Linked DNA regions of Oreochromis niloticus. Each later gene encodes a partner of the first gene's protein in a complex. Links are inferred from orthologs where the notes say so. Each region holds a gene or a part of one and is shown on either strand. Other genes may lie near its edges.

The links. The genes of interacting proteins can lie anywhere in the genome.
Region 2: the proteins of npr1a (region 1) and nppa are in contact, whole or in part, in a crystal structure (PDB 7BRG), measured with the Rattus norvegicus proteins. The link is inferred for Oreochromis niloticus from reciprocal best matches to the Homo sapiens genes NPR1 and NPPA. Residues at the interface, in NP_036745.1 of Rattus norvegicus: Asp90, Val115, Tyr116, Ala119, Pro120, Arg123, Ala139, Leu140, Gly141, Ile142, Val144, Tyr148, Tyr182, Asp184, Leu186, Gly187, Asp188, Asp189, Arg190, Phe193, Phe194, Val196, Glu197, Tyr200, Met201, Arg204, His213, Gln214, Glu215, Phe216; in NP_036744.1 of Rattus norvegicus: Arg126, Ser127, Ser128, Cys129, Phe130, Gly131, Gly132, Arg133, Ile134, Asp135, Arg136, Ile137, Gly138, Ala139, Gln140, Ser141, Gly142, Leu143, Gly144, Cys145, Asn146, Ser147, Phe148, Arg149, Tyr150.

What each region holds. Positions count from the first base shown.
Region 1 is NC_031985.2:34,509,245-34,516,647, forward strand, and holds the start of npr1a (atrial natriuretic peptide receptor 1), read right to left. Parts: upstream 3,016-7,403; 5' UTR 2,669-3,015; intron 1-2,668. UniProt on the Homo sapiens protein: Receptor for the atrial natriuretic peptide NPPA/ANP and the brain natriuretic peptide NPPB/BNP which are potent vasoactive hormones playing a key role in cardiovascular homeostasis.
Region 2 is NC_031984.2:35,514,024-35,521,805, forward strand, and holds the start of nppa (natriuretic peptides A), read right to left. Parts: upstream 3,010-7,782; 5' UTR 2,913-3,009; coding exon 2,802-2,912; intron 646-2,801; coding exon 339-645; intron 141-338; coding exon 82-140; intron 1-81.

The DNA of each region.
Region 1 (7,403 bases):
TCTACCTGTGTTGCCTTTGTCATCTTTCTCTGTCTCTCATTTATACAGTGCTGTGACAAAGTAACACCTGTGTGAGGAAGCACATGTGCACGGTTTATCCACTTATGTTCCGGAGTTCTTCAAATAAAAGCAGTCTGGGTTTCCATAATAAGAGTCTCACTGACATATGGACATACAGTTTCTGTACTGCAAAGCTAAGAGGGCTTTTAATTTGAAACAAATGCAGAAAATGTTGAGTTGAGTCGCTTTAACAAGGTAGGAGAGAATTAAAAATACTAAAAAAAAAAATTAAAAAAAAATACTAAAACAGGACTAATTCATCCCATAAAATACAAGGAATGAGGTAAGCAGAGGTCAAAGATAACACAATGTTAGCGGCGTCAGCGTTAGTTCGTCAGCTGTTCCAAACAACGAACATGTCTTGAATCAGTCCACTCGCATTATAGCAACTTGACAGCTCGGATCATTTCATTTGACTTAATTGGCTCTCTTTCATCAAATGCACTCCAGGGATGACTGGATTTCAAGGAGAGTGAATAAATAAGCTCCAAAATGTACCTGATGTTTTATTCAGTAAGAACTGAAACCAGGTCTGCCATAGACTGGTCACCAGTCCAGGGTGAAAGAAAATGGATGGATGGATAGAGTCACTTCAGTCACTTTAATTTTAATTTTAAAACGGTGAAATTTTAAAAGTGTATATAATGTATATTCTGTGTATTTATTATCTCATTCTTATTGCCTGTTTATGCCCTGTCCTTATCTTCAACGTCATGCTGCTCTGTTGTATCTATCTTAATTGCCCCTTGGGGATAAATAAAGTCTCTCTGATTCTGATTCTGATAGATTTGAAACTAGGGGCTGAGATCATGAACTCATCAGGAAAGTGTGTAATGAGGTCGGAGATCAGGTGAGGAGTGGGCTCATTTTCCCCTAGACTTCTGTATAATCAGACCAAAGCAGTTGCACCCTGCTGGACATTTGAGTGCTTCTGCATTGGCGTCATGCTTCAGATGCAGTACCAGTATCTGCACCAGGGATGTCAAACCCTTCATTCCTGAGCCACTTATCTTCCAAATTCATCAGCTGTGCTGTATGAGTAAAACCACTCCGTAATAAGTCTTGATGCATGCTCATTCATCTGGACCTGGTGTTTTTAGTGGGAGAAACATTTCATCACTCATCCAAGTGACTTCTTCAGTCTCAGCTGTAAATTTCCCCAATCTTTTACATACATTTGCATAATGACTCAAACTAACCCCACTGGTGAACAATGGGCTGTGAGGTCAGTTTCTTGATCAGCTGATCAAGAGTGACGAAATGTTTCTACCACTGAAAACGCTACGTCCAGATCAACAGAATTGGGCACTCCCTAATAACTTTGAAATCTCCCTTATTGCATTTTCTTTAAGTAAAGGGTTATGGTTGTTATGGTCATGTTAATTTGTTCATGATTCCACACATTTAGAGTACAGATGATCTGGTCTCTTCGGCTTTCAGCCTACATGACTCACACCTGTTGTTGAGCTGTTGACCAAAATGTAGGTCCCTCTTTAAACTCAAGAATCCATTAAAACCCCCTCATATCCCAGCTTTCAAATGCAGCGTGTGTTTCTGGGTCTGTCCAAATGGTGGGAGGTAACGCAAAGAAATATGATGAGTGATGTTGAAATGTGTACATAGCTTCTCTGTATGTGGAAACACAAAATCAGACTTTAATCACCACATTTCTCCATACACATGAGCACATGAATAAATCTGTGAAAGCAGGCTGCTGTGAGAAAAGGCAGCAGGAAATCTGACAGGAAGAAGAAGTATAGGCCAGCTTCAGTCAGGCTGAAGTGTCTTTGAATACATCAGGATTTCTGATGCTGATGAAAACTTTACTTTCCAGAGATGGAGGTAAAACACACTCAGCTGCCCGACCCGTCTTCAGTCTTATATAAGTGTTGTTGCAACATCAGTGAGACTCAAACACATCACTCAGGGAACAAAGAGCTGTCAACATTGAGGTCTGTTTCTAAACTTTCAGCTTCTTTAGGATCAGGATCTGTGCACACATCAAACCTCAGACTAAAAAAAAAAAAACAGTTTCTCACTTTCATTCTGAGGTGACTGTCCATCTGACCATTGAGTGTCTGTGTGCTTCACACATGATTTTAATTATTAATAATAATACTATTGTTATGTAAAACAGTCAATGATCTCGTGGATGCCAAATGTATCATTCTCGCGATCGATTATGAATATTTTGTCCCCTCATGTCCAGCCAGTCTCTCAGACGATCGCCCCTCCCTCAGCCTGGTTTTACTGAAGGTTTCTTTCTGTTCAAAGGGAGTTTTTCCTTTCCAGTGTCGCCAAGTGCCTAATGATTGCTGGCTTTCACTGCTTTATTGCAGGGTACTGCTATTGTGATTTGGCGATGTATAAATCAAGTAGAACTGAATGTATTCTTAGTGGTGGGCTGTTGTGTCTGAAGGCAGATAGACTTCGGTTAAGATGAAGAAGGAAAATCAGAGTCTTCGTTCATTTGAAAGCGTGACCAGGACAGAGACTAAGAGAAGAACTAAAAACAACTTTCTACTCGATTAACTGCTTGGTCGCTAAACGCGCGGCGCCTTTCTCCTGTGTAAGTTCATCAATAGAGGAGCGGCTGACGTTGTTTTACCTGTTCGGCGCTCAGCGCAGCTCCGTGTGTCCGCAGAATGACATCCAGCTGTTTTCAGCTGCAGCTCGCGCGGCGGAGGACGCCTCGTGAACACTCGGTGGGAACTCCGTCTCACCGGAGGCTCACCGGAGGCTCGCGCCCCGCTACTGCCGGCGCGTTTCCGCTTCTCCGCGCTCACAAACCATCCCGGTAATAATCCAGCCTCCCGCCGTGCGCGCACACGCAAGTTTTGCTGAGGGGGTGTGGAGGGTAAGAGGGCAGTCCTGAAAACGCGAACTGAAGCGCGTGCTTGAACCTACGTGTATTCAGTTACCAAAGTGACACATGCTATATATATGTGTGCTCGCAGTGCCCCGCTCCCTCCTTGCCGTGCTCTGCGCACGCTGATAGACTGAAATATTACTTTTAATCAAAAACTTTATATAAATCCGGATAAAGCCGCTCTGCTGACGTGAGCATGTGGATATGGAGCCCCCTGGTGGCCGCCTGCAGCTACTCACTTGGTTTTATTGATTGGATACCGGTACTAGTCAGTTGATTAGTCTGATTGAACCCCGAGTAAAATGACTGTGGGTGAGGGTGATTATGGATTATAGACAGATGGTCGTGTTTCTGCCTTCTGCTCAGTAAAAGTTCAACTTCCATAGAATTATCTAAGATCAGTTAACAAGTTAAATGACTGATCAGTTTCTCATCAAACTTCCAGCATCTCTGAACTCACTGCTGACCTTTGACCTCTTTGCAAGGAGAGATTTTAAAGTTCATTAACAGCCACACATGACGTCACACTGCAAGTGTGTTATTGTTCATAAAGTTAATGCACAACACATACATAGAGAACCAAAGAATGTGTGTGTGTGTGTGTGTGTGTGTGTGTGTGCGTGTGTGTGTATGTGTGTTTTAACAGGATACACCCGGTATACCAGGAAGTCGCTTGGAAACACACAAACTCTCCCTCTCTGTACCTCTTCCTGGAAATGATCACCACCCACCCTCATACTCGGACTCTCTTGCTCTCTTTCTCACATGTATCCTACCTTCCTCCCACTCTCTCCTGTTAATGAAAACACATTAATGTTTCTCTTATTTAACTGTAAAGGTCACACTTGAATACAGCAAGTCGACTCCAAAGAAAGTCAGTAAATACAGTTAAGGTGAGCAGTTTCCTCCTTTTATTCTTGATTCTGTTAGAGACACTGCATGATTCCGTATTCAGAATAATCCTTCTGTGTCTGGGTTATAGTGCACCCTGTTCCTCTCTTTTGATTGGTTGTTCTCTGCCAACAGAACCTTGTAAGTATTATCTTGTGCTGTGGCTACTGGAGAAAAATACAACGTGAAGTTACTGAAAACATGATTTGTGGTTGTTGGTTGGGACTGAACTGTACACCTGAAGGCACAGCTTCATACGGGGATATTGTGATTCCCATATGAAGTGAATGCTGATCTGAAAATAGAAACTTTATCATTTTTTTTCTTCCTTCATACAGGTAAACTAACTATGATGAGATGACTGTGAGGATATCCTCTCTGTTTGACATCATACAGCCAGGGTCACCACAAGGAGGGGCCAGGGGGGACACTGGCCCATCCTAGCAAGGCTGTTGTATGTTGGTATTATTTTAATAAACATGAGGTCAAGAGAGAGGAAGACAGCCTACAATGAGTTGAAACATTAACCTGTTATTTATTCCTGCATATACAATTTTGCCATTCGTATTGTGTCACTTTGTATGTCCCTCATGATTTCCTGTCATAACCTCCTCACCTTTGCTACACCCCTGCGCTGTTTTGGTGTGCTACCCCAATATTTTTAGTGGTCGCCATATGGTCATCCATTGAAAAAATTCAAGAGGCGCCCCTGCACAGCGCTCGCTGAGTGTAAGATGCTGGCAGTGGTTGGAGGAGCATGAGGTAGAAACATGTTTAATATGAACATCCAACCCTGGAACAGGAGACAGCAGACAGCAAGTTGAGAGGAGCACTCAGTCACCGTTAACGGTTTCTTAGTGTCCAGTCGGCACACAAAGTTGTGCCAAGGCTCAGGTCTGACTCTGCTGTGAGGATGAGTGTTATTCCTGAACGAGGAGATCTGAAAACCAAACTTAGCATAAACACATGAATGAATTCAAACTTTATGGACGGCTTTTTTTTTAAAAACAGAACAACAAACTCTTTTCCCAGGCTAAATGAAGATCTTCTAAATTAGTGACACACCATTTCCCTGTCCAGCTTATGGGCTATCTGATTTTTTCAGCAGGTGATGGTTTTGTACCTCTGAAGATTATTTTATAATTTATTTATTTTTAAGGGATTAGTGTTTTTTTAAACACTGTAAATAGTGACTGAAATAAAAGCCATATTTATAGAAATTGTGGAAATTATTTGTCTGCTGAGATATAATCACACAGAATTAATCTCACAGGGAACATTTGTCACAGGAAACTGATTAAACCTCCACAACAACAAAGCCCACAGAGCAGGAACAGTGTGACATCTGGACGTTCGCATATTGTGTGCAGTCTTTTCACCGCTTCTGTGCAAAACCAATCCTAAGCACATCAAGCACTCAAACGATAGCAGAAAATCCAAAAGGCACTAAAGCAAAAACTGCTTTAAAAGGTGAGACACTACAAACAAAAATATGAGTGGCATCTGAAGAGCTTCTGTGACAGCCAGAGGAGTCCACATCTTTTTCACACAGAGCTGCTACCAGCCCAATGTTGTTTGTTAATAAAGTTTTTCAGCTGAAAGGTTTTGTGGAATCTTTTGTTTGTGGAGCCCAGAAAAAATTAAGTCAGACTGAAACATGATGCTGACCATGGCTTGGAGCCGAAACAGGACACAGTTGAGTTATATAACGGCACAAAGCTTCTGGAATTATTGAAGAAGCTAAGAGTCAATTTGTGACTGAAAGGTGTGGACAGGAGGATTTTTGCAGCCTTATGTCAAATGGATTTGTAAGTTTTACTTTCAGGAGGAAAATATTTGTAATTCACAATTGTGTGATCAAAAGTCTGTGGTAAACAATTTACTGCAAACTGCATGAAATCTAACGCTGAAAAAAATCTTCTTCTGCCTGTTGTGGTTGTGATAGCTGCTACCAGAAAGGTTTATGAGGGGGACATATCTTGAGAACAAGTGCATAATCGGCTCAAAGCTGTGAGCTTGTTACCAAAACCAGTGGTGACAGTAACTGAGTGAGTATTAACAGAAAAGCACTGATTGACGAGCTTTAATGATGTTGTTTTACTTCCTTTTGTTCGTCTTCAAATTTCCAATTTAAAAAAACACAGACATGAGAAAGTGTTTCTGGTAACACTTTCTCATGTCTGCAAAACTGCAAACACTTGTGTTTGCAGTTTTTAACAGACAGTAAAACCATTTGTCATGTACACACTCATTCTGCTGCTCTTCTCTGAGGTCACTACATTACATCAATCAAAGTAGCCAGACTGAGCCATGAAAACAACAAAACATGGCAACAGTTTGATAGAAAAGTTTTAAATTCACCCCACTGCTACAATAATGAACAGCACTGGGTACTTTTAATGTAATAACTGAAGAACTTCGTACTCAGTAGCTTCATTAGTGTGGGAGGAAAATTGGAAAATGAAATGAAAAAATATAATTTTCTTTTATGAACTAAATTTTTAATTTTAATTTAAACAAAGTTGTGCACCTTTTAATTTCCGTAGTTTTTCATTTTCTTATGAGAACATTTTATCAAACCAAATTATTTATTTCTGAATGTTTAAATGTTTTGGGAAGAATAAAACGCTGGAAAAATTCAGAAATGTGTCCTGTGTGCCGATGGGATCACCACAACTGGAGCGGGATCAGCTGCAACAGAGACAGATGGCTGAGAGGAGCTGGGGCCATTGCCAGTTGCAGTAGAGAACAGACTGTGCAGACCCAGATCACGGTCTGCTGGGTCATCCTCTAAAGCTGGTGGTGGGACCTCCGTAGGTGGCCACTGATGAGCTTGATCAAGGACCCAGGTATTGTCCAGGGGCTCGCAGCAGCGATAATGCTTTAGCTGGTCATGGTGGACAACTTTCACTCTAGACCTTGGGTTCTTCTGGATCCGATAAACCAGGTCATCCAATTGCCCCAGGACAAAGAATGGTCCTTCATACGATGGGAGGAACTTTTTGACCTTATTCTTGATGTGACGTGTTCCTTTGATGAGATACCATACAGGATCTCCAGTCTTGTACTGTGTGTGGCAACAGTTCTTGTCATATTGCCTTTTTGCGCGCGTGACTGACTCACGCAGGGCTTCCCTGGCGATGAGGTGGGCCAGCTCCAGCCGCTCACGCATTTGGTGCACATACTCTGGAGCTGAGGGTTGGTTGTCTGGATCAGGAGGTAGACCTGCGACAAGGTCCACTGGCTCACTCAGTTCTCGGCCAAACATCATGAAGTTTGGGGTGAAACCTGTAGCACTGTGTTTGGTCGCCCTGTAGGCCATAACAGCGTACGGGATCATCAGGTCCCAGTCCCAATGGCAACGCTCTGCTGTGGAGGCCAGGATCTTTTGGAGAGTGGCATTAAAACGTTCAACCTGGCCATCTGACTGGGGTCGGAATGGCGTTGTATGAGTCTTGTCTATGCCAAACAAACTGCACACCCCCTAGAACACATCAGATTCAAAATTGCGTCCCTGGTCACTGTGGAGTGCTTGAGGTATCCCGTAGCGGCACACCCACTCAGATGCAACAACCTCGGCAAC
Region 2 (7,782 bases), on another chromosome or scaffold:
TGTCCAAAACATGTTTACAATGAAAAGTGTAAGGAAGGTCAACGTTTAAGGTTAGAGAGGCAAAGCTGAGATAGTTTGTACATGTGCAGAGGAAGGCTGGTGTGATGGAGGCAGATGATGGCTTGATGCTGAGCGAACCCCTAAAGGCAGCAGCCCGAAAGAATAACAAGTGAGAAAACACATCAAGTTAAGTTAAGAACTTGTAGAATATGTGATTGCACATTTAGTCAAAATCCAACTGCATGCATGTTTCTAAGGGTTGACATGTTCTAATGCTCTGTATTTATTTAACTCATTTAATTCAAATTTGTGTCTTGCGTCTCCGACTGCAGTCCTACCTCTTCCACTGTTGCATCCCAAGCCACTGGCATTTCCTATTCGATCCATCCTGGCTCCAAAACAGCCAGAGGTGCGTTTCCTGGTGGCCATCAGCAGGTCCTGGAGGCGGCTCCTCTGATTCACAGTCTTGCCCTCAGTTAGTGGTTGGGCTTTTTCAGATATCAGAGGTTCTTGGTTCCCCTCTTGGTCCCATCCTTGGCTGGTCTGGCTGCTTTTGGGATCTTGGTTCATGTCTTCATAATAAGCTTCCAAGTCTTCTTTCTGGACCACTTCATCCAATGTCTCCTCAAAGCGTTCCAGCAAAGACTGTTGTAGAAATCATAAAGCATCTAATAAATCAGGATGTAGAGGCAGCCTGGACACTGGTGATGTTCCAGAAATATTCCTGTTTACACACAGCCATGCATGATCTGAAAACATGATGTTATCATGTAAAAATATAAAATACAGACCTGTTTATGCTGCATATTTATTTCTACACTTTTGAGAACAGCCTCCCTCTTTTGTCTGTTCAAATACCTTATTGGAAAGTTTGCATCACAATAGCTGTAACAACTCAAATTCACCTATTACTAAATCCTAACGCTTATACAAGTGTAACCATAAGTATTCAAAATTATACCAATATCATATCAGTATCACATGAGCAATTTTGACATGATTATTGCCTAATAAACCCGTCCTGTCCAGCAGATTTATGGAGCACAATCACAATCACAGGTGGGACGTGCAAGTGCGTGTGTGTGTTTATCATAAAATACACTTGATAATGAGGGTGACAAGCTGCAACAACGCCCCCCTGGGAGCCAGAGTCAGGGGAGCCAGAGTCAGGTCCATTAGACCATGAGACCCGGGCTGTCCACGGACGCCCAAGAATAGTGATGACCTGAGGCCACACATCTCGATGACAACCGCGTGAAGGAAGAGGGAGGCCCCACATGGAGCCCCCAAAGCCAAAGGACAAGGGCCCCAGAGAACCAAAGACAATGGGTAACCAACCCCATAAGAGGTTGGCTGTCCCAGCATGAGCCAAAAGAAAGGTCCCAGGTGATGAGAACTGCCTGGCACCTGACAGGGCAGGGCAACCTCACACCCTCCACCACTATGTCCCACAGTGGCCAAGACTCAGAAAGACTCAGACCCAGCCATAATATACACACACACAAATAGGGGGTGGCTGAAGAGCAGAAGGGGGCGGCTGGAGATCAGAAGAACAGGAAATGAATCTCAGTTCTCATGTTTTGTTTCTTCTGCTAATACTGATACTATAGTGTGCACTGCAAGACCCTATGCATGTGTTGGTGCAAGTGAGAGTTTGAGGTGTAAAGGATGAGTATGACTGTATGAACACTAGAGTGCTTTTAAAATTTACAGTTGTGGCATGAACACCTGACAGCTGGTCAACAATGCTCACACTCAATGCCTCAGGTGCCAATCAAATTGAAAAACACACAGCAGTGACGAGTTGTGTGGGGCCACCAAGGTAGCCAGAGTCAGCAGATGGGTCCCAAGTCTGAGAGTCCATCTGGATACAGAGTCATAACACTCAGCCAACAACAAACAAGAGGGACCCATCATTCACGATGTTTAATTTTTAAATACCACAGTTATCATCAGTGCACAGATATTGTGACGTTCACACAATGAACCAAAGGCTGCATACTTTCAAAACCATGGTGGGTGTTTTTATTGCCTAATTTAATAGGTATGCAAATATTAACAGCATATCAGGAATAAAGGTGAATGTTTTGTTCATGTCATGTCAGTGTTGTGTCAGAGTCACAGCAATCTCCTTAATAACTGTCTACTTCAGCCACAGCTGAACCACAGCTTGTAATTCTGGAAGCAGAGCGCTCTAATTTCTAGTTCACCTTGGCTAATTATAAGATGAAGGAAGAATGACGATGAAGGTTGTGATGAAGTTAAAATTACAAGTGAAAATAAGGAGAACAAAGTAAAGCAGGTATATCTTTGAGATCAGATCAATGTGAGGTCACACTCTAATGATAATTACTTTTCCACATTGTGTTGCTTTGTTTGTAATCGCCTGATCTGTTGTTGTGTCCTCTTGTTGTCATCACAACAGTCAACATTTCATCCTGTTATTCCCTCTCAATATTCACAAATCCATAGAAAAGCATGTCAACATGTGCTCTGATTTAAACTATATTTGAAAAAACTCTTCACTTTGTCAAGTAGAACATAAATCAGTTATACTGGGGTGGATGCATTAGTGCAATTATGAAATGCTTGTAGTATTCGTACACTAACTGCATTTGAGAAGACACTGATACCAGTGTAACTGCCTTTGAATGATTTTTAATAACAGGAAATATGTTATTCATGCAGCTACTTTCTTGTCTTTGATCCTCTCTCTGTTTGAATGTCAAAGTATCTGGTCCTTCACAGTGTAATGTTTCCACAAATGGTGTGTTGATTACAGGTATGACATGGTTTCTTACCTTGAGCTGAGCCAGGTCATTAGCAGATGAGGGCCTCCCCAGTATGTGGCCGCTAACCAGTGTTTGCTGACACAGCAGGGCCAATACGCCCCACAGAACCTCAGTTCTCATGTTATGTTTCTTCTGCTAATACTGATACTATAGCGTGCACTGCAAGCTTTTATATACAGACAGCCTCACATACACAACCATCTACATACACTTACCATGCACCAGACAGGCAGTGCCATCATTTTGTAGACGGCCTCAAGTGCATTCTGACACCTCTAAATGATAAGGCCACTGGTCAGATGTCTCTTTAAGTGGCGCTTGGTGGTAAGTGACGTGTGTGTGCGTGTGTGTGTGTGTTTGTGCATGTGTCTATGTATACAGTATATGTGTCTGTGTATCATCATGCTTACCAGCCAGCAGTGGCATGACCTAAGGAGCCATCCTGGATCTCCGAGCTGTGTATTGGGAAGAATGTCGTTTCACTATGCATATACTTAACACTGTCTACACTCCCAAGAATGAAACGTACCATAGTAGGTTAAAACTGCTGCTTGTGGTTGCATGGTTTAGATTAGGACAGGAAGGAAACAATGTTATAGTCAAAGGAATATAAACAGGATTGTGAATATGATTTATTACCATAACTGAAGGCATTTTCTTCCTGTCATGAGTTTGTAAGGCAGGAATAATACAGCCTATAATCTAAACTTGTAGGTGCAGTAGATAAAGACATGAACTGGGAGTATTATAGAAAAGAAGAAGCGTATACTGTAAATATGTTTCAATAATGGGTGACCTTTAATAGAAAGTAGACAAGAATTACATAGACTCAAATTTCAAGAATCAATTATAATACATACGTATTTTATAAATAACAATTTTCACATATTTAAAGAAATATTAACAAAGTAAATATTTGGGTTTTAATGTTTATTCAATGTGTTTCACAGTTAAGAGTTACACAAACACCATGTTCTCATTTTATACTGTAACTCCACAGTATTATTCAGACAAACCAGAGCCTGAGGTCTTTATTAGTTTGTAGGGTCTCCTCGTCTTTGCAATCGCACATTTTGGAAGTGCAGACTTTAATGCACTATGATAAGAGATTGCATGTCATGGGTGGAGCTTTGTCTTGTTCCCTCATTCATAAGGCACATGAATGGCACATGTAATAAGGGATGTGCTTCACACAGACTCCTAATAATCCTGCACATTTGAATTCTAAGGAGTCATTTTAATTTCCCTTTTGGAGACAATTAAAAAACAATTTTAAAAAATCACAAAGCTACTCAAAACTAAACACAACTGAAATAAATAAATAATACTTAGAGAATCATTCATTTCATTTTGCTGAGAAGACTAATACCATTGTCACACACAGACCTCATGTTTAAAACATACAAAAACTTTTTTTTATCTGCTTGTGCTTTTTCTTTACACTCTTGGCATGGGACAATCCTCCATAGCTGATCAAGCTCCCAGAGGACCTTGTAGTACCTATGATGGCTTTCAGAGCTAGAGCTGGGTGATCATGGGGAATGTGACATATTTGGGCAATAAAAGATGAGATTTATGCGGCTTTGCAGCATTACAAATGTGCCACATACACTTGCACAGTGTGCCTTTACCTGCCTTCAGGCTTTGGGCAGACCAGGACATTAATCTGAGTGGTAAGGAAGGAATATAAAGGGACTGCACTGGGTGAGATTGAAAAGTAATGTGAACCTGGACATGCTGCTGCAGGTGTATCTGTGGCCTGATGATTGAACTGCTACCTGTTGGAATGCATTTATATTACCCAGAATTCATCATTGTTGTTGCTGTTTGAATCCACTTCAGATCAACACAGTTTGGACTCCTTTCCATCATTTGAGGAAGATGCTAACCAAGTGACTGTGGCTGTGGTGAATGGATGTGGATCGTGACCAACCAGCTTTGGCATGCTCTCTCATTTCAATCTCATGCCACAACACCTGCATTCATTTAAAACTCCCTGTTGTTGATTCATTTTGTTTTATTGAATCACCTTTTGCCTGTGCTTTAGCACTGTAATGTTCCAACTTTGAGAATAAAAAGTTTTTCTTCTTCTGTATGAAAACAGAGCCAGGAGAGCCTGAAACAGCGTAATGTCATGGCTTGATGCTTTGACGTTATGAGAACTCCAAACAACGAAAATTTAAAAAACAAAAAACACAGCTCACTTCCCAACATCTCTTAAGCTTACCAATTCCTCATTTGATGAAGAAAATAACAAACATATTTCCACAAGTGTTCAACTATTTGTTTTCCACCTATAACAGAATGTAAACAGAACTTGATTTAAGATGTGAGGGTAACATGTTCTAAGGGTCACTGAAAGTTTTGTATTTTATTTGTATGTAGTTGATAGTTGATAATTTATCTGAATTTTATGAGCAGACCACAACTTTTACGTTGCCCATACGAAACATCATCAGTCTGGGATCTTCCATCAGTCAGCTGGCAGTGACTACAGTCAGCAGGTCGAAGCAAGGCGGCCTTCATTTGGTTCCAGATGCAGCAGCTGTGCACTGGGACTGAGCTGAGAGCACATCCAGTTCCTCTTCATGGGATGGGAATGGGGTGGCTGATAACCGGTTGAAACTTTAAACAGTGATTGATTTAGCACCGAGTGAGTTATGTGCATATTCGCAAGACAACTATGAACATGAAAGTTATGGATTGTTATGGATAATTCAACCACGGGCTGCTGCTACTTCCTGCTTTCATCTTTCTATCTGTCCATTTGTCTGACGGTAGAATCCAAAGCACTTGCTGTTTGTATTATTATACAGTTTTTATGTTACAATTTCAAGTGCCCTGAGACAACTCTTGTTATGATTTGGTACTATATAAAATTTAATTAAATTTCGTTGAAATTAGAGGCTGAGGGAGCTTCTTCACACAGTGAGCTGCCTCAGAGAACCAGTACACAGTGGTTAAGATAACTGTCTTTCCATCTGAGAGGAGCAAATCAGTGATAAAATCCAAAAAGATGTATGACAAGGATCTATTTGGAATTGTTAGTGGGTGAAGGAGACCTGAAAGCGGTTTTGAAGGACTCTTGTTCCCGACATGTGGGGGAGGCAGAAAGATATCCTTTAACATGATGAAGGACAAAAAATTGTTGTTTAAAGAAAGAAGTAGTTCTACTTACCCCAAGGTAGCAGGCGAACCTAGTGGTGTGGTCCCAGTGGAAGCTGGGGAGGAAAGCCATGGTGGTAATTTCAGTTCATTTAAAAAAAAAAAAAGAAGTTCTAAATACAATAAAAGTTGCCTTAAGATGCTGTAAGGGGAAAGTCTTGCATCACCGCTAAAAGCGGTTCGTGGTGGACAAATTGAATCTTCTAAAAAACAAGAACCATTATGCAAGATTGGAGTTCAAACTTATAGCACTCTGCAGGTAGGAGAGAAATTGTAGTCTGGGATCCAGCTGGATCTGAACTGGGGTCAGTCTTCACCTGTCACCCTCGAACAAAAAACCCAGAGAGGTCACAGAAGCAATCCCCTGCTTTGACATAAAGTCCGTTTTCTACAAGGCACTGTAAAGCTCAGCTGACTTCTAAGGATTTAGAAAAAAGTAGAGGAAAATCCCAATCTAAACACAAAGATGAAGATGCTAAAGAAGTCTCTCAGGAGATCATTTATGAGGGTCCGGGGCACTGCAGGGGGATTGGTTAAAATCCCTCTGCAGTGGCATTTCCATTCATCTCAGTTTTGGATTTTAACCAAATAATTCATTTTTTAAAATCCAGTTTAGTAAATACTGTTGCAAAGATCAGAAGACAGAGCTGATTAAAGGCTGTGGATACTTACTCTTGACGACGGTTTGGTTAAGGTCTATAGATTTATAGACGGTATGAGTGTTTCATAATTTTTGTTGCCCCCAAAAAAAAGGCTCTGCCTGCTGGAGAGGATGATCGATTTGTCCATGGACCGTCTGTCTGGCCAAACAAGATCGTGCAGATTAACTACAGAGTAACTCCTTATAACAGTCAGAGGGACAGTGTGGTCAGTGAACCTGGGGAGTCAGTAACTCTAAGAGAGATGAGAGATTGATTAGTTCAGGTCGGGGGTGAGGTGAGTGATTTAAAGAAGGATTGTGAACCATGCTTCTTGATTATGAGCCTTTCAGACTGTTAAATAGTCAAAAACTGTCTAAACAAAGGCGTTAAAACCAATAATCATGTTCTTCAATAATCAATCATGCTCCTTATTTGTGTGGGACCTCACATTGTTGCATTATGATCATTGCACATTATTCTTCAAACAGACAATAAAGAACAGCACTTAAAATAAAATAATGCTGAATATGACATGAAAACTATTACATATTCTTACTATAACCAAAAAACACAACTTTTCCTCAGAGCCCCAGACTCTTGAATGATGCACATGGTTCATGGTTCATGACAACCACTTAAATAAAACCGTAAATCTAAAATAAGAAGTCGATAAACCATCCCGCCATTTTCTTCTGCTTCTTTGAAGTTGGGCCGTAGGGGCAGCAGCCTAAGCAGGGAAGCCAAGACCTCCCTGTCACCAAAAAGCTCCTCCAGCTTATCCAGAGAAACACCAAGGCATTCCCAGGCCAGCCGACAGATTTCTCCAGCATGTCTTGGGTCTAATCCAGACCTGTCACAGTTCTGGGTCAGTTTTGACCCAGCATTTTTGAGTTCCTTATGTTTTGGTTTATTTTGCATTTTGGAGTGTTTTGGGGTTCTCTGGTGTTTTGATTATTTGTGATAAATTATATTACTGTGGTTCTGGTTTGGGGTTTTGTTCGCAGGTTTTGTGTTCTCATGTTTTGTGTGGGTTTAGTTCTGTGTCCTGTCTGCGTCCTTGTGAAGTGATCTCTTGTTTCCTGTTTTATTGTGAAGATCTGCGTCTCATGTGAGTGTGTTCAGTTTTACCTCTCTTGTCTTGTCTCGTTAATTACTCCCAGCTGTGTCCCCCACCTGTGTGTAAT